Elephas maximus indicus: one gene and its partner. The protein of the gene in region 1 interacts with the protein of each later gene in a pairwise test. Links are inferred from orthologs where the notes say so. Each region holds a gene or a part of one and is shown on either strand. Other genes may lie near its edges.

Region 1 (9,667 bases):
AGGCCACCAGATTGATCAGCATATGTAAATATCCTGTTGAGAGGCATTCAAAGGCTGGTGGAAGTGGAGCCAAAAATGGGAGAAGGGGCTGGAGCATATAGGGGCAGGGGTAGAGCACAGCTTAACAGGGGTTTCGGTCTTAACCATTAGAGCTGTGGGTAAGGTACAAAGTGGAAAGGCCCAAAACAGGAGTGGGCACAGAGGTGGGATTGACACGATTGTATTTGCTTTTGAAGTGCTTAGTTGGGAACAGTGTGGAGAAGAGAGGAAGCAGGGAGACCAGTGAGGGCCCCCCGCGGAGAGTGATGGTCTGGAAGGGGGCGTTGGAGATGAGAAGCCAGTGGGTTCCAGAAGGACTACCAGCCCTGAGCCTGACCTGCAGCAGCCCTCGCCATGTGACTCCAAACTCCGGGCCTTCTTGGGGAAGCGTGGGGGCACTCGCTCATTGCTCCATCCAGGACTGGCGCTCCCTGGAGAGTGCCACCCTGCCTCCCCTCCCGCCCCGATCCGGAACTGAGAGCTCCCGCACATTCCTCGCCTTGAGCCAATTTTCACGCAGACCTGGCAGGTCCAGCTCCTCCTCAGGTCTCTGGCCTCAGAATTGTCTCGGGGCGTCTGTGAAGCCGTTACTGCGGCTTCCCTCGCTACGCCACGGCTTTCCCCCACCCCTGGCAGCCCAGCAAGCCGAGGTTTCTAACCGTGGCTAGGCTAACGGTTTGAATTTGGCTCAGAAGTCCCGCGCATGCGCAAACTGAAACCTTTGCGCCGGGGCCCCCAGCTTGAACCCATGACCTGAACTTTGCTAGAAATGAAGGTGTTCTCAGGCACATAGCTGCACCTGAGCTCATTTGCAAAGCAAAAGTTCCCTTCCTTTGCAGCACCTGGATCTCCGGACATGGACTTGGGAGGGATGGGGTGTCAGATTTTGGGCGCCAATCCCGCCCCCTGGGGGCTAGAGGGCATAAAAGCTCCAAGCTGCCCTGGGACTGGGAGCCAGTAGTCTTTAAGCTGCTAGGCCCCTTGTTTGCGCAAACAATAAATTTCCACTTTGTTTCCCTTGCAGCTGGTGGTGTGTCTGTCTTATTTCCATTGGCTAGTAGGACAAGACAAAAACCCTCCCTCTTTTACAGTTGGCGTCACCGGGGGTTTCCTCATGATCCCCTCCCCCACACCTCTTGGCTCCTTTGTCTTTCCAGAACCTTCGCAGTAGGGCTAGCTCCCTGCTTTGGGGCCCCCAGCAGAGCCCACCCCAGGGTAGGTCTCTGGACACTGACAAGGAAGGGAGAAGCCGGATAGAGTGCGGAACCCTCCTCTGAGGCACCCCCTCCCCCCACAGCTACAGGGGCGACCCTACGACCAGGAAGGAGCATGTTTCACTTTGGGACCAGGAAGAAGCATGTTTCATTTTGGGACCAGCCTCAGGGGGCCTGTGGAAAGGCTGACCGTGACCTGACCACTTCTGCACAGAGCGAACTTGGCTGTGGGGAAACTGATCCACCAGCAGGCTCTCTCAGTCAGGCCTAGAGCACCGTTCATCGCCTGGCTCTGGAAGAGGTCCACATGAGGAGCAGGGTTCCATGGGCAGACGTGGCTCTCTGCAGGGTGGGGTCGCGGGCCGGCTCCAGCCCACCCCTTGGTGGCCCACAGGTTGTCTCTCCAGTGACCCCTTCTTGGCTTGAGCCTGGCCGTTTCCTTCCTGGACCACACTTTCTTTTGGGGCCGGGCGCCCAGGGCTGGGATCCCCGCTCGAGGGTCCCCAGGCACCGCCCGGTTGGACTTAGTGTCGGTGCAGTTCTTTGGTGCAGGGCTCTCTGATACGTATTTACAGACATGGCCCCGAGCTAGCCCCCGGCCCACCTCTGTTGATGAAACCCATCCCCATGGCCCCATGCCATTGCGCAGCAACGACTTTCCTCTAGTACCGGCGACCCCTAGACAAAATGGTCGCTCCAGCCCTCCAGTAGTCCGGCAGGAGGGCCCGGTGCCCCACAACACTTGGGGTCACTTAACTCTCCAGTCATGTCTCCTTGTGGTTTTAACTTATATTTCCCTGAGGACCAATGACTTGAGCCCTTTTTTCTTATAGAAAAGTCTTCCAAGCCCCTCCTGCCCCTCTTCCCCCTCTCCCTACCCACTACTCTCTTGGCTGGGCCTTGCAGAAACAGCTAAAATGAGGTGGTGTCCAATAGGTGAGAATTTTCCCCAGATGGAGTGGTCAGGGAAGGCCCCACTGAGGTGACATTTAGGATGGGAGGTTGCCATGCAGGCCAGGGAGGGAAGGGTTACAGGCAAAGGGAAGAGCCTGGAAAAAGTCACCAGGTAGAATGAGTTGGCATGTTGGGAACAGTGAGCAGAGGTGTGTCCCTCAGAGTCAATGAGAGGGACAGACAGGTCCAGGGCAGTGTGAGAACCAAGACACTTTAGTGAAGGAGGACTAGAGGCATTCCCACTCCTTGGACTCCTTCCCTGGACATAAAAACTCATCCCTTAGTCCTTATAGGGTTACTATGAGTTGGAATCTATTTGAAGGCAATGGGTTTGTTTGGTTATGGGGTTAGTCCTAGGGGTGGGGTTGGGTGGGACTCATTCCCTTGATCCTCAATTAATCTCCTTTAAGCACAGCCCAGAGCAGCTCAGCCTGGACCCCCTTGTGTCTAGTGGCCTAGCTCTGAGCCCTCACACCTAGGGAGGTTTGACTCCACACCTCAAAGAAAATTAACTGGACTGCAGAAAAACTCTGTCAAATCATTGTGATGGGATTATTTGGGGGGTGGGGCAGGGTGGGATTGAAGAGGTGATTACAGCACACCAGACAGTACTAAACAAAATCGGATGTCCTCCTGGCCCTCCCAGAACCTCTTAACTCAGGTCTCTTCTGTGTCTCCCACTCTTTAACCTTCTCAACTCCTTGTTCTCTCCCCAACCCCCCTCAGCTCACAAGGCCAAAAGCAGACAAAGAACAACTAGCACACCTGAGGGGCCTCACCTGGGTGGGGACATCACATCATCCCACTCGGGCCCCATTTCTAAGATGAGGAAACTGAGAAGCATTAGTCCAAAGGCGGTCTATTGCAGAAGTCTCCAACTCAGGGCCAAGCTTTTCCAGCTTGCTGAGTGCACATGCCCTGGAAAGTGGGAAGCGGGTCAGTGGACACAGGGGAGGTGTCTGGGGAAGGGGGCGGTGTCTCTGCCTCCCACGGAGGAGAAAGACAGAGAATGGCGGCTGTACAGGGAGGGCGTCTTGCTCCAGCCATCAACTAGGTGCCCTGCGGTCCCTCCCCCCACCCCCACCCCCCCACTCCCCCGCCTCTGCGCACTCTTCTTGCTGCGGGGTCCAGGTGGGACTCACGCAGACCCCCAGGGCCTCTCTCCACCCAGTCTCTCAGTAAGATGTCACTGAGAGGGGTCAGTGGTGGCCGGGGATCCGCAGTTCATGATGGCGATCATGGGACGCTGACTCACGGCAGGACCGCCTGACCACCGGGGGGTAGGCGGAAAGGGCCCTGCCAGGGGGTTCCCCAGCGCACAGTCTTGTTTACCTCTCAGCGGGCCTTGGGGGCGGGGAGGGCTGGGCCGTGCTCAACAGCAGAGCTTGCTGGGAAGGGCCGGACCCGGACTAGCCCGGGCAGGGGCCGGTAGCTGGGGGCTGGTGGCGGTCTTCAGGCCTGCTCCCCAGAGCCCATTTCTTGCCACCCCTTTCTCTCTGAGCTTCCCCACCCCTCCCTGCAAGCCCACCACGGTCCCAAACGGACATAAAAGTTAAGAAAGCAAAGGAGTTCCTAGAGGCAGCCAAAGAGTCCCACTACTTGTTTGGGCAAGGGCCGCGCCTTGGGCTGTTCCTGAAACCTGCGTTCCCCTAACCAGATGACTTCACTCTTCAGCCCACACTGTGCTCGGACCCGGACCCTGAAGCTCTGGGGGCGGGGTGGCCGGCCGAGCTGGGGCAGGAAGCGCGCTCTTCGCCCAACCGCCTGGGCTGCGTGTCTCCCATGGGGCGCTGCTGAGTCATACGCCCTCGCTCCTGCCAGCGGCCCCAGTTTTCTTCCCAGACCCTGACCCTTCCGGCAGGGCCGTGGGTCTCAGCGGCTGAGGGTCACCGCGGAGACGCGGGGGGGAGGGGTGGAGAGGGACTCTCCTGTCCACAGCGCTGCTCCGGGCAGGGGTGCGAGGAGCTGTCTGGAGCCCTCAGGGAAAGATCAGCCACACCTGTGGACAAGCCCCTGTGTGCTCCCACATGGAAGTCACTTTCGCATTTGACTATCCCCTAGCCCAACCAAACTTCCCTTGGTCTCTGGGTTTCCCAGCCCTCGCGCTTCCACAAAGCCAACCGTGAAAAAGCATGACAGGACCCCATCTGGGTGCAATATAGGGTGACATACCCTTCCTGCCCAACTCCTTCCAAGGTGTCTCCCCAGGCCTTTCAAACAGGTCTATTTGGTCACATAAAGCAGTGTTTCTAGGCTCATAGCTCTAGGGGAGTTGGTCTGACCCCCTGCCCATGAGGTCAACAAGCTGTGAACTCAGGGGCCCTTGGGCACCACCTGCTGAATTGAACCCTGTGCTGACAGGTGGGCATCTGGGGACTCAGCAGGAGTCTCTTGGGCTGCACTGAAGTGCCGGGTGTAGGGATATTCACCAACCCCTGTCCCCTGTGCTCTCCTAGCACCTCTCAACCTATCTCGCTCACCCATTAAGCTGGGGGCACAGCTGGTGGATGGGGGATAAATCGCCAGGGAGGACGCTGTGTGCTCCCCACCCCCCACCCCCGCCCCGGGAGAGGCTGATTGTCCCGAACGGCCTGGAGGCTACCAAGCTGGCAGGTAGCACCCTGTTCTACCACCCCGTTGTACCACCCCAGGGGGCCTGCTTGCTCTGGCCCGCAGTGCTCACTAGATTGCTTAGGCACCTCCTGGCGTCTAGCCTCTGTGCCCCCCCACCCCCTGCTCTAGGCATCCCTCGGCGGCCTGGGGACACTTTGCTGAGTCATGGCCAGGCCCAGGCCTGGGAGGGACCCCTTGCCTGCCTCTTGCCCCAGGAGTAGAGACCAGAGCCCAGCTTAGACGTCGGACTAACGGGGCGGGCTTCTTGGGGCCCCTGCTGTACTGGGGGCAGTGAGGAGACGGGCGGCAGTGAACGGGCCTCGGCAACCGTGAGGGGGGTGGTCACAGGAGACGTAGGGTGGCAGCGGGTGAGGGGCCCCCGCAGGGCGGCTTGCGCGCGCCGCGGTCTGGAGGTGGGAGCTAGGACTTCGCCGGGAGACCCCGCCCCCAGGTGGCCGGGTGGGGCGGGGCTTCCCGCATTTCCTATAAAGGCCGCGCGCCTGCGGCCAGCGTTGTACAGCTCCGTTCCAGCTCCTTCGTCAACGGGGTATGGCGTCGCTCACAGTCAAGGCCTACCTTCTAGGCAAGGAGGATGCGGCCCGCGAAATCCGCCGCTTCAGCTTCTGCTTCAGCCCCGAGGCGGAAGCCGAAGCCGAGGCCGCGACTGGGCCGGGGCCTTGCGAGCGGCTGCTGAGCCGGGTGGCCGCCCTGTTCCCGGCGCTGCGGCCTGGCGGCTTCCAGGCGCACTACCGCGGTGAGCAGGGCCGGGGGCGGTGGCAGTGACGCAGGCCGAGCGGCCTCTGTACGGCCTGCCCTGTGGGGCTTGGGTGGCTGCCTTTCCTTCCCGTCGATGCCTGATGGGGTGAGGGAGGGCTGCTCTGGCTTTTGGGTGAGCAGTGGCTCGCGGCGGGTCCACACTTCGGCCCCGGGTGCCAGTCTGGAAGTGCCAGGAGTAGGGACCAAGACTCGGTTCCGGCCCAGTTCCAGCTGTTAAGCGCTAGCCCTTTTGGGGCCAGGGGCTGCCACACTCTACGGGCGGATCTCAGGTCTGGGGGCGCCAGATTCCACCCCTCCCCCCGCCATGATGCTGCACAGCTTGGCAAGGACGCGCAGGCGTCCTTTCGGCTTTTCGGGGGCCGCGGGCACTAAGGTTACACTGACATCTTGCGGCTTTGGAGTCTGGGTCCTCTAGCGGGTTCAGATTTACCCCTACAGAGCCTGGGCGGAGCCGACCTGGAGGAAGGGGCGCCAGGGGCGGGGGAGGAATGACGTAGGTAAACAAGTGTGGGGTGCGGGGAACTATCCCGAGATAGTCTCTGCGAAGAGAGGTCGGGGCCAGATCACAGGACGCCCAAGGCCAGGCAGAGTACTGACTATCTAATAGTCTGGAGAGACGGACAAGATCAAAGGTTCTTCAGGAACATTGGTGTAGGGATGGAGGCTGGGAAGCCTTTGCGGGCCCAGGAGCTAGCTTGGGCTGTGCTTGTGTTACAGGTGACTCCTGGGGGTGGGGTTGAGGAAGTTGGTTGTGAAAGGGAGGGCGGAGCATCCAGGGCCAGCCTCTGGGAGGGGACAGTGCTGGGACCTCCCTCAGCAGTGCTGCCAGCCTGCCAGGTCCGCCCCTATCTTTTTTTGGGAATTTTTTTGAGATGTAATTCACATGTCATACGATTTACCCATTAAAAGTATATAACTCAATGGTTTTTAGCATATTCACAGGTTTGTGCAACGATCACCACAGTTTCAGAACATTTTCATCACCTTGAAACCCCATACCCTTTAGCTATCACCCCTACCCTAGCAGTCTGATTACCTCCAGCCCTAAACTACCAATAATCTACTTTCTGTCTCTATAGCTTTGCATGTTCTGGGCATTTCATATAAATGGAATCATGTGGTTTTTTGTGACTGGCTTCTTTCACTTAACATAGCGTTTTCAAGATGTATCCATGTTGTAGCATGATGTAATATTATGGTGGAATACTAGTCCATTGTATGGATATACCACATTGTGTTTTTCCATTCATCTGTTGATGGACACCTGTGTTGTTTCCACCTTTTGGCACCGCCCCTATTCCTGATGTTGTGATCTGGTGACCCACAGGCCCTATTCAGTCTGCAGATGGATGGTGTGATTTGTCCTGCATGGTGGTGGTTTAAAACCCTTTGAGCCAACATCTAAAAATGGGAGACTACATCCAAATATGGTATTTTAGCAGCACTTTGAACAGGTTCATTCAGGTTCCACCTGCTGAGACTTTGCATTTTGACCCTAGATATACTGAATCAGAATCTACATTTTAGCAAGATCCCCCAGGTGATTCTTACATATGCATTTTAATTCTTAAGTAGATTATTATTCAGTATATCTGGGGGGGTGGAAATGCAAATTCTCAGCAGGGGGTCGAACTGGAATGAATTGGTTCTAAGCCCCGGCTTATCTATTACTTTCCTAAACCTTAAGAAGCCCAAGGCCTTTGGAGGGCTGGGTCCCCCAGGAACTGGTCAAAGGCAGGATCTCCCACATTTGAGGATGGGCCTGGTTGGATATGGACCAGGGGCTCAAAAACAGAGCAGGGGGTGGCCAGCTATCACTGTTGTGGTGCCCTGCACACACACACCTGCCTCTGGCATGGATCCAGGGCCCCATGTTGAAGTCCTTACCTTCCTAACAACATCAGAGTGAATGGGCAATCTCACCTGTCATCCCTACCTCCCCCAGTTCACACAGGGGTTCCAGTTTATAGCCCTTGAAATGTCCCTTCAGCACTGGCCTCAGCTGGTTTGAGCAACTTGTATCCATCTGGAAGCCCCAGGTACTCATGTGCTGTCTTTTAAACCATCTAGATGAGGATGGGGACTTGGTTGCCTTTTCTAGTGATGAGGAGCTGACAATGGCAATGTCCTATGTGAAGGATGACATCTTCCGTATTTACATAAAAGGTAAGGGGCTACTCTGGGTGTGACCTGAAGCCAGGTGTTCCCTGCTGAGTAAATATAGGGCTTGAGGGCTAGGAATCTGAGGGCTAGACAGAGTCATAATAAATGCCAAGTTTGCCCTCAGAAAGGAGTCCATGTTCATCATGTACTGAGTGGGGTCTATAGGGTCTCTGAGTCCACTCTTGATGTGCCCAAACCAAGTGCCATGGGGCTGGAGGAAGCGTTGGGGGTACAGTACAAGCTTTATTTTAGTGAGGAGCAAAGCCAGAGTGTGCCAGCACAGCTCTCTGCTGCTCCTCAGCTGGCTGGGCTCTGCATGCCCGGTTTTCAGGTGCAGGGATTGGGACTCTCTCAGCAGGTTCTTGGGTTGCTTTGTTACTGTCACCTGAGCAACTGAATTCTGTGTGGAACTGGGTGTTTCATGAACAGCCCCACAGAGGTGATGGATGGGGGAGAACTTTGGAGGTGTCACCTCAGTGGCTCTCTCCACCCTTCCCCCACAGAGAAGAAGGAGTGCCGGCGAGACCACCGCCCGCCATGTGCTCAGGAGGTGCCCCGCAGCATGGTGCATCCCAATGTGATCTGTGATGGCTGCAATGGGCCTGTGGTGGGAACCCGCTATAAGTGCAGCGTCTGCCCGGACTACGACCTGTGTGCGGCCTGCGAGGGGAAGGGCTTGCACGGGGAGCACAGCAAGCTTGCGTTCCCCACCCCCTTCGGGCACCTCTCTGAGGTAAGCAGGGCCTCTGTGCGGCCTGGGGTGGGTTCTGGGGTGGCAGGAACCCCCTGGCCCTGCACTACCCTGTCCCTCTGCTTGCTCTTCCCACAGGGCTTCTCTCATAGCCGCTGGCTCCGGAAGCTGAAACATGGGCACTTTGGGTGGCCGGGCTGGGAAATGGGCCCACCGGGCAATTGGAGCCCACGTCCTCCTCGGGCAGGAGATGCCCGCCCTGGCCCCACAGCAGGATCAGGTGAGGCTCGCTTAGGCAGCCTGCCCTGTGTGTGCTTTTGAAGGCTAGCCGAGCTGGAGGACTGTCTTTATTCTCTGGTGCTGTTACTCAAGACTTCCATGTACACTGATGCCTGCTATGCCCATGGCTGGGCTGGGCAGTTTCACAGCCATCCATGTCATTTAATCCTCACAAGAGCCCTGCAAAGTGAGGACTATTAGCTCTGTTTCACAAGTGGGAAAGCTGAGGGGCAGCAGGGATCATCCAAGGCCACTAGTGTACCCAGCAATCAACCATTTCACCGTTTGGCCCATCTGGGTGCCCTGAGATCAGGCCTGTGGGCCATCCAGTCCCTGGAGCCTATAACAGACTCTGTTCTCTCATGTCAGCTTTCAGGAAACTGCGAGCCACGTCTGCTCGTATTAAAACACAGTCGCACGGTTAAAAATTTACACGTAGTTTGCAATCTACTGAGTTCTGATCTTCTTTTGATTTTATTAATCTTACTGTGTTTTTTGATTCATTGCATCCTTTGGGACAAAAGTTGGGGATATTTTTTGACTTTGAGTAAATAACATATCTCAGACATGGCCAATATTTACATACCACATATCCTGAGCCCTGCTGGGTTACCGAGCACCAGGACCGCAGACAAAGGAGGAGCAGGCTGGAGGATGAAGCGGTTTAGGATGTGGCCCCATGGGTGCAGGTAGCCAGGGGAGAGGGGAGAGGAGTGTCTGGACTGCCAGGATGAGGAGTCTACTAGGATGCAGAGGCCGACTCGGGCGATGGTGACCTTGGGAGGAAACTGATAGGACTAAGAACAGGTATCAGAGTCATCAAGAAACATGCTTTGAATGACGCATACTTTTATTTTTGTTTTTAAAAATCAAAGCTTCTGGGCCCTCAGAGGATCCCAGTGTCAACTTCCTGAAGAATGTAGGGGAAAGTGTGGCT
Region 2 (9,587 bases), on another chromosome or scaffold:
CCAGCAGACTGGGTACTCTCTGAGGTCAAGTCCCTCTCCACCCTGGTCAGGACCTAGCACACATAGTCTCAACAAATGCTGAATGAATAAATGAAGGAATGAATGAGGCAGACACAAAGAGGCACCGAGTGTCACCTTGGGCAAATCACCCAGCCTCTCTGGGCCTGTTTCCTCATCTGTAAAATAGGGATGATATTAGTATCTACCCAATGGGGCTGTTGTGACAATGAAGAAGCCATGCATGTAAAGTTCTGAGCACAGTGCCTGGCTCATAGTAGGTGCTCACAAAATGGTAGCTACTATCCTAATAATAATTATTATTGTTTTTGATTCATGTGGAGCTATAGACAGACACAAGAGATAGCAACGTATTAACAGAAATCTTACTTCTTCCCACCCTCCGCCTCTCATTTTCCTCCAGCCCCACTAGCCTCCTAACAGTTAGTTCCTCAGACACTCCAAGCATATTCCCACCTCAGGGCCTTTGCCCTTGTTGTTCCCTTCAGATGGGAAACAAGCCTCAGAAATCCTGTGTTCTCCTACTCCTCTGGTCCCCTTCATACTGCATGTTTTGTTTTAGACGGATAACAGTCTAACAAGATATGCAACATATTATTGTTATTGTCTCTTCTTTGATTAGGACACAAAGCAGGGATGATGGTCTGTTTTGTTCCCTGATGGGTTCCAAGGCCTAGAACACTGCTGACATGCAATAGGTGGTACCCTCACCTCCTTCAGGTCTCTGTTCAAAGTCACTTCCTTCCAGAGGCCTTCTCTGAGGTAGACCCCTCCCACCCCTCAGCTCGATTTTTCTTCTCAGCTCTTGTTTCCATGATGTGCAACCTGTGCAGGCACCCAGGCCCCAGCCCCACATTTTCATCTTGCCCGGACCCTGCAAATTCTGTCGCCAGTTCTGGCTGTTTGCCCCAGTGCCTGGAACAGCACGTGGTAGACACTCAAGGATTTGTGGAATGAAGGAAGGCATGGAGGAGTGGATGTCCAGGGGAGGCTCACAGGCCGGAGACAGCAGCAGAGACGCACACCCCGCCGCCACTGGACACATATGGACATCTGCAGACATCAGCTCAATATAAGCCCGTGAGTGGGAGGCAGGGTGAACTGGCCTGATGCCCCAGGCGGGGGGCGCCTCTAAGCCTGCCTCCCTCCCCGGGCAGCAGGCCAGCTGGGGCGGGGGTTCAGATGGCAGAGGAGACAGCGCTGGGCAGCTTGGGCCTGTCACCTGGCAGCCCCACAGCCCTCAGAAGGAGACAGGGATGGGTGGCCACACAAGAGAGAAAGTAGTGAGGATGAAGTCCCTGAGTATCCCCTGATCATTCAGGCCTGTAGAGGGACAGTAACTATCCAAGGTCCATGCCTGGAGCTGGAGCAGGGCTGGGAAGGACTATCAGGGGCCCCAGACACGTGTGCTCATGTGCGGCTTTGGACATGGCCACTTGTGTATACCTGGACAGACAGAACTTTCTAAGATTGCGTTGTGTAGCGTGCACACATGACAGGTTGACATCTGGGGGTGGCAGGGAAAGAAGCATGTGGACACAGCAGGAAGCAGCATTTCACAGGGGTCAGAAATGCAGGTTCTGGGCTCAAATCCCTGCTCAGGCCCTTACTTAGGCTGTTGGTTTGGACCTGTGTATGGTATTAGTGTCATTAGGTTTGTCTGGGTTTGAGTGCACAGGTTGCATGCGTGCATGAGGTTGTGTTTGAAGAGTAATTTAATCCCTCCAAGAGATCTTCCTGGATATCCCACTTGAAATGTCACAGGCCCCCTATTCCATCACGGTCCTAATAACAATTTGTTATGTATTTATTTGTTTATATTGTTTCTTTTCTGTTTCCTCTATTAAATGTCAGCTCCATGGGCAGGGAGTTTGGTTCCCCAGCACCTGGCATATAATGTTTTTGTTCTTAGGTGGTGTCAAGTCGGTCCCGACTCAGAGCGACCCTATAGGACAGAGTAGAACTCCCCCATATGGTTTTCAAGGAGTGGTTGGTGGATTTGAACTGCCCACCTTTTGGTTAGCAGCCGAGCTCTTACCCGCTACACTACCAGGGCTCCTGGCATATAATAGGTGCTCAATAAATACTTGTTGAATTAAAGAAGGCAGGGCTGTGTCTGTGTGGGTGTGGGGGGAGTGGTGGGCGCTGGCTGGGTATCACAGGAGCCAGGAGTGCCCTGTGCTCAATTCTGCTCTCTAACCCCTTTCTGTCCTAGCTGTTCACAACCATTCATTTATTGTTGCTAGCTGTCTTTGAGTCTGCCCTGACTCATTGGGACCCTATGCACAACAGGACAAAACACTGCCTGGTCCTGTGCCATCACCATGGTCACTTTCCGATTGGATCATTGTGATCCATAGGGTTTTCATTGGCTGATTTTCAGAAGTAGATTGCCTGGCCTTTCTTCCTAGTCCATCTTAGTCCGGAAGCACCTCCGCTGAAACCTGTTCAGCGTCATAGCAACACACAAGCCTCCACTGACAGACGGGTGATGGCTGCACATGAGGTGCATTGGCTGGGAATCGAACCCAGTCTCTCACACGGAAGGTGAGAATTCTACCACTGAACCACCAATGCCCCATCTGCCCTGCTGTGTCGCCTATGTCTTTCCCCTTCTCTGGGGCTCAGCGACTCAATCGTCTCATCTGTAAAATGGTGGCCGGGTGGAGGTTGGATTGTTTCATGATAAGCTCCCTTCCTGATCTAAAATGCTATGAACCTAATTTCCCCTTTAATTTGCTGAACATTTATTGAGCACCTACTGTGTGTCAGGCACTCTTCTGGCCCTGGCCCTACCCTCCTGTAGCTCAAAGAGAATGAGGAAGACATGAGCCAGAAATCTCATTTAATCTTGAGTGCGCCCTCCCCCAGTCCCTCTCCTCACCTGCTGGAATTCTAGTCTTCACAGTGTGGAATCACCTTGGGTATTTCTCTGTTTACACACTGATCTTGCTCCCTCATCAGCCTGGAAAGTCAGCAAAGCAGGGACCCCTAGGTGCTGTTTATTACTGCAGCCCCACGCCTTTGCCAAAGGGCCTGGCGTACAGTAGGCACTTGGGGGAATAGGTGTGGAATAGGCCAAGAAATAAATGATGGAGCAAAGGGAGGCTTGGCATGCATGACTTAATAACTTCCATGAGTCTGTCGTTACCCACTTCGCAGATGAGGAAACTGAGGCTCAGGAAAGCAAAGCCACTTGCTCGGTTCCCGCCGCAGCTAAGTGGTGTGTGGCTGTTGGATGCAGCAGAGGAAGCAGGGGTAGCGGAGAGGAGTAGTCCCAGCTCCCACCCCACCCCGCAGAAACAAGAGACACAAGGGGGTGCACTGATGCGGCGGTAAGACCAAAAGACAGCGTAAAGCAATTCAAGGGTCTGTCTCTCTCAGCCCCCAAGGCTGGAAATGCTTTGCTGGAAGGAGACTACGAAATATTTGGCGCTGATGGGGAAGCTGCCTATTCCCTGTTGCCAGCTCTAGAGATCTGGGACGCCTGAGACTCTGTTTCTCGGCAGCTTCAGGTTCCAAAGCCGGGGAGGAACCCCCCGCCCCGTGCCTACCGGGGAATCCCCTGCATCCGGGGTCCTCCCCACACACCCGGAGCCGGGCGGCTGGGCCGAAACCCGCAGAGCGCAGACGCGGTGCCCGGGTTTTCAGAGAGGCGGGGGAAACACCCCCCCGTTCGGGCCCCCACCGTCCGCGGCACTGGGTCCCTTTCCCGCCGCAGTTCGCAGCACGAAGCTTACCTTGCAGGGGGGCTGGGGAGGGAATGTGTATGTGTGTGCGCGATTGTGAATCCCGCCGGTGTGTGGGTACGTGCGCGCGCGTCCCCGGGCGGTGACGGCCGCGGAGATGCTGGACTGCCAGGGCTGGAGGGGGAGGGGGGACTCCCCCGCCCCCGCCCGCCCACTCGCGGGCTTGAATGGACCGCTAGGAGGAAGGTCGGCAGCGGGAGGGCGCTTTTGTCTGTCTGTCTGGACCCTCCCTCTCCCCCGGACCGGGCACTCCCTGCCCCCCCAAACTGGAGACCTTTCCTCCGTTCTCTCCTGTCCCCCAATCACTGACTTCGAGGGAGTCTGGGAAGTGGTGCCCCTCGCTCGGGTGCCAGAGCTCCTCCCATCCGCTCCCAGCCGAGCGTCCTTTAATCTGATAATCCTGGCCCAGGGCTGTAACCAGGCCTTTTATCTTGGTATCAAAGCGTGGGTTGCGGCCGGGGTCCCCCAAGCTCAGAGTAATGGAGTCTTTGGAGCCTTGACAAGGAAGGGGCCCCCGACGAAAAGGAAGGAGCTAGGAGCGGCCCCAGACAGCGGCGCCCAGGAAAGCCCCCCATCCGCCTCTCCACGCTCCTCCGCCCGGCGCGGGGCCAGGAGCATTGGCCCCAGGCTAGACATTAGCGACACTCAGTGGCCGCGCGTGGAGACAGGCGCCAGGAAGGCGGGGGGGAGGGGAGGAGCCCGGGTGATTCCAGTGGGACGTGTGTCTGTGTTCGAGTCCCCGTTCAGGAGAGGCAGAAGACGGGGGCGGGAAAGAGACCTGGAAGGTGGAGGCCGATGTCTGAGCCGAGGAAATACTAGCCCCTAAGGGCAGTGCCACGTCGCCTTCAGATTGGAAAGGTCCCCTTAGATCACACACCCTTCCCAGCGCAGGGCTAAGTGTCCCCTCACAAGAGGCAGGGGGCGGGCCTTCTCTGCAGTGGGCTCAGGTTGACGTCATGCGGCGTGGCCAAGGGGACAATCCCCGCCCTTACTCTTGCCAACTGCCCTTTGAGGCCGCTGCAAACGCTCACCGTGGGGCGGCGAAAAATGAAGGAGATCGTGGCTGGAGCGCCCTCCCGTGTGCCCTCAGGAGGTGCCCATTGGAGCCCCCGGGCCCGCTGAGGCGGGGTCTTAGTGGAGACTCCCCGCAGCCAGAACACGTGCGCAGTGCCCTTTAAGGCGTGCTCGGTCTCCAGTGGCGCCGCCGTGGTTACTAGGGATGTGACGTCACGAGTGGGGGCGGGCGTGTCCGGCGGAAGCGGAAGGGGCGGGGCCCCGCGGCCGTGTCTTCAGCACCGCTGCAGCCGCCGCCGCCGCGGGAGCCGGAGCGGGCTGGGCCGCTGAGGCAAGATGGTGGACTACAGCGTGTGGGACCACATCGAAGTATCTGACGATGAAGACGAGACGCACCCCAACATCGACACAGCCAGCCTCTTCCGCTGGCGGCACCAGGTATAGTGCACGCGCCCGCCCGGTTCCCCGCTCGCCCGGACCCGGCTCCAGAATTCTGACCCCAAGTACGGGCCAGGGACCTCTCCTTTAACACCTGTGCTCCCACCTCACACTCCGGATTTTTATTATCTCCCGGGGTCCCTCGATTCAACTCCAGAACCCTGAGTACCGCCAGGACCCTGTCCGTCTTACTGCGATCCCGAGACCCCTTTGATGATCTGCGTGGGACTCCCTATTGACCCCTAGAACAATTTTCCCAGTCTAGGTTCCCAAGATAAGCGTTGGGTATATCCTCAGTCCTGTCCGCGATCTTCCATTTACACTCAGAACCCTGCCTCAGAGCCTGGATCCTCAATTCAGCTAGGTGATTTGTGGTCCTATTTGGATCCCCACTTCTGAGCTGGGATACTCCACTAGGCCCCCCAATCCTAGGGTCTGGAACCCCAATACTTTAATCCTGTCTGGAATCCACCTCCAGGGGTCTTGATGGGAATTCCTAGTCAGATTCCTGTTCCTAGGCTTGGGACCCCAACCTGCACCTGGGACCCCTTCCCTAGAGGTGAGATTTGCGATCCACCAGTGTCCTCATCTTGCCTGTTGTTGTTTCGAATTATGGCGACCCCATGCGTGCACAGTAGAACTGCTCGGTGGGGTTTTCAAGGCTGTAACCTTCCGGAAGCAGATGGCCAGGCCTTACTTCCAAGGCACCTCTGAGTGAGTTTGAACCGCCAATCTTTTGGTTACTAGTCCAGCACTTAACTTCTTGCACCACCCAGGGACTCCTCGGTTCAGCCTAGGACCAGGGTTTTGGAAACTCCAGACTCAGTCACCAGCTTCCATCCTGTGGAGTTTCCAGTTCTGACTGTCCTTCAGCCTCACATACTATAGATCTCATTTCCCATTACACTGGGAAACCTGTCTCCATGGCTTCCGGCCCAGCCAGAGCCCCTGCCTGTGTTTAATATTGCAGACCCCATTATCACCCACCTCCAAGACAGGCCTCCCGTGTGAACCTCTGCCAGCACTGGAAACCCACAGCTAAACCCAAACCCAGGACCCAACACCCACCCTGCCTTACCCTTTCCCGCAGCCTGGTCTGCCATTATCTGATGCCCAAATTGGTCCTGCACTCACCCAGGGACCCTACTGATTTGATTTCTAAATTCACTACCCCTTCTTTTATCTGTCTTCCCACAACACAAGTACCAGTTGCCATCGATCGAGTTGACTCCGACTCTTGGCAACCCCATGTGTGTCAGAGTAGAACTGTGCTCCACAGGGTTTTCAGTGGCTGATTTTTCAGAAGTAGATTGCCAGGCTTTTCTTCTGAGGTGCCGCTGGGTGGACTGGAACCTCCAACCTTTGGGTTAGCAGCCAAGCACGTTAACTGTTTGCACCACCCAGGGACTCCCACAAGAGAACTCCCAGATCCAGAGCTCAGAATCCCAAGTCTGTGTGACCTGTGACCTGCCACCCCGTCCTTGACTGGTAGTGCTCATGGGCCAATAGGATGACTCTCATAAAATCTAATGGTCTGATCCTCTGCTCCCCCAAATCAGAACTCCTGTACCCCCCACACCTATGCCCGTTATACTCTCAAACTGAGGGCTTATGCTGGCTAGGAGTTCTCCACCTCCTCCTATATGGCACTTCCCAGTCATTTATCCAGAAAATCCTCAAAGGGCACTTCCCCATCCTTATGGGACCCTACACTGGCTCCTGTATCTGGTCCCCAGTTCAACTTTGAGCCTCCCATTCCTTAAAACAGCAGTCTCCTGGGTAATGTACCTGCTGGGCAAGCCACTCGTATATGGGAGGAAGGTTCTAGCACCTCTGTTTCTTGCTGTGTGTAACATTTTGTTATGAAATATTTAAGACCTTCACAAAGCTCTAAAGAATGTTCTTGGGAATACCTATTTCTGTCTATAAAAGAGTTAATCTTTACTACTGTGTAGAGGTGATTTGGTCCCCATCCCCATGCCCGGCTCCCCAGTGCCAAGTGCCAAGGGCAGGGTGTCTGGGCGATGCCCCCTTTCCTGCAGTGTCCTCTTCCAGCCACACCCTCCTCCCTGGCCCACAGCCTTTTCCTGTCTGGCCGCTGAGAGCCCCGCCCCTTTCCTTCTCTTAAAGGCCCTGTGGCTGTAGTGGAGGCGGTGGCCTGGGTGTTTCCAGCACCAGGTTCATGGACAGGCAAGCTTGGATTCTGATCCCAGCCCCACCGTTTCCCACCTCTCTCCGTGTGAAGTGAGGTTCATAGGCCCCATCCATGAGTCCCTGTGAAATAGGGATAATATGGCCCTGTCTTTATGAAATTGTCGGAATGAAAGAGATTAGGTTTGAAAACAACCGGGCTCAGGGCCTGGGAGGCAGTGTTCCAGAAAAGGAGGTAGGCTTAGTTAAAAGGTAGCCTGGTGCCTTTTGACTAGCCCAGCTCCTTCTGCACCACTGACAAGCTGTCTCAGTTTCCCCAGCTGGGAATATTAATAATATCAATTTTGTAGTGTTGTGAGAAATATACTACTTAATGTCTGTAGTGTTTTGTGGATAGTATCTAGTACATAATCTTTCTATAAACGTTAGCTATTGTCATTGTTAATATTTAGGTAATTCATGGTCGTGGTGAAAAATTCCAAAGCTTCTAGTAGGGATAAGAGGACAAATGAGTCTTGCTTCCTAGCCCAGCTCCCCAGTTCCCTTGCCCAGAGACAGCCACTGTTCCTGGTTTTTTGTGGCTCCATCTAGTAAGCTGTTCAGCAGTGAGGTTCGGTGGCCTAGGTTTCCCCATCTGTAAGGCAAGAGGGCAGTGATTCCAGCTGCCGTGGCTCCTGGCCTGCCTAACCTGCTATGGGCCCTTCGTAACATGAGGTGTAAAGCTAGGGCCGGGCAGGCTGCCGGCCCCACAGCTCCAGGAGGCCTTTATTTAGCTTTCACGTCCCTGGTGGCCTCTCAGAGGATGCTGGGAAGAGCTTGGAGGCCGTCCAGCAGAGAAAACCAGGGTGGTCGGTTCCTGCCGAGGCCTGGGACCACCTGTAATGTCAGCTGCAGAGAGCCCCTTGCGGGTAGCAGGAAGGTTCCATGGTGACACAGGGCGTTGCGGAGTATGGGTGGTGGCAGAGGCCAGGGCTCCTGTCCATGAGGCCTGGGCCTTCACCCATTATCCATGCCGGAAAAGTAAGCCTTGGGGCTATCCCTGTTAGTTCAATTGGGCATTGGAGTAGGGCCCTGGTGTCACAGTTCTCACTCATCATTGGCCTGGCCCTGTGCTAGAAACCTGGGGATACAGCCTCATAGAAGGCACAGAAGTGAGTCAGCAGACTGTTCTGGTGGTGGTGACAATGACAGTGGTGATCTGTGGCTAACATCTACTGAATGCTTGCTGCGTTGGAAGCATTTTTTTTTTTGACTCGTTTAGTCCTCACATTTCGTCTCTCTGACTTTGGACACGTTATCGGGAGGGATCAGTCCCTGGAGAAGAACATCATGCTTGGTAAAGTAGAGGGTCAGCGAAAAAGAGGAAGACCCTCGATGAGATGGACTGACACAGCGGCTGCAACAGGGGACTCAAACATAGCAACAATTGTGAGGCTGGTGCAGGACTGGGCAGTGTTTCGTTCTGTTGTACATAGGGCCGCTATGAGTTGGAACCGACTCAGTGGCACCTAACAACAACTACAGCAGTCTTCACAGCAACCCTGTGAGGTCCCATTTCACAGAGAGAAAGACCAAGGCAGGGAGAGCTTTAAGCGACTTGGCCAAAGTCATGTTGCCAGTAAGTGGCGGTGCTGGGTGCAACAGCAGTGAAGTTGCAGCATCCACCCCAGTTCTTGAGCATTTGCTCTGGGCTGCAGGTTAAGCTGAGCACCTGAAGTACCTTTTCCTGTTTGAGCCCCAGAATAGTCCCCAGAGAGAGAGAGAGAGAGATTATCTCCTTGAATGGCTATTTCTGAGTGCCCAGCACGGCTCTGGGCTTTTTCCTTCAATTGCCGCCTTTGTTTCTCCTACTGCAACCCAGTGAAGTAGATGCTATTGTCTGCATTTGACAGGTGAGGAAACCAAGGTTCAGAGAGCGACACACTGCAGTACGTGGTGGTCATGGGATAGGACTCCAGGTCTGGGGCCCCAAGGCCATCCCCCAGCACAGGAGATAATCATCTAATGATGGTGGAGGGGCCTGGGGGTGCTCGAGGGCAGCTCTGTTGGAGCTGAGATGTGGGTGAACTAGAAGAGGGTTCCAGGTGGAACGAACATCGTGTGCAGAGGCCAAGAGGCCAGAGAACGCTGGTGCGTTTGGGGAACCCCAAGGACCAGCATCTGTCTGGGACCTGGCATTGGGAGTGGAGAGCAGGACGCAGCTCCCATGGTGCCTCA

The links.
Region 2: the proteins of SQSTM1 (region 1) and CDC37 interact in binary tests that used the Homo sapiens proteins (3 or more experiments, as listed by UniProt). The link is inferred for Elephas maximus indicus from reciprocal best matches to the Homo sapiens genes SQSTM1 and CDC37.

The regions. Positions count from the first base shown.
Region 1 is NC_064820.1:202,020,992-202,030,658, forward strand, and holds the start of SQSTM1 (sequestosome-1), read left to right. Parts: upstream 1-5,322; 5' UTR 5,323-5,369; coding exon 5,370-5,574; intron 5,575-7,667; coding exon 7,668-7,763; intron 7,764-8,263; coding exon 8,264-8,493; intron 8,494-8,589; coding exon 8,590-8,731; intron 8,732-9,605; coding exon 9,606-9,667. UniProt on the Homo sapiens protein: Molecular adapter required for selective macroautophagy (aggrephagy) by acting as a bridge between polyubiquitinated proteins and autophagosomes.
Region 2 is NC_064821.1:28,498,154-28,507,740, reverse strand, and holds the start of CDC37 (hsp90 co-chaperone Cdc37), read left to right. Parts: upstream 1-5,015; 5' UTR 5,016-5,117; coding exon 5,118-5,219; intron 5,220-9,587. UniProt on the Homo sapiens protein: Co-chaperone that binds to numerous kinases and promotes their interaction with the Hsp90 complex, resulting in stabilization and promotion of their activity. Inhibits HSP90AA1 ATPase activity.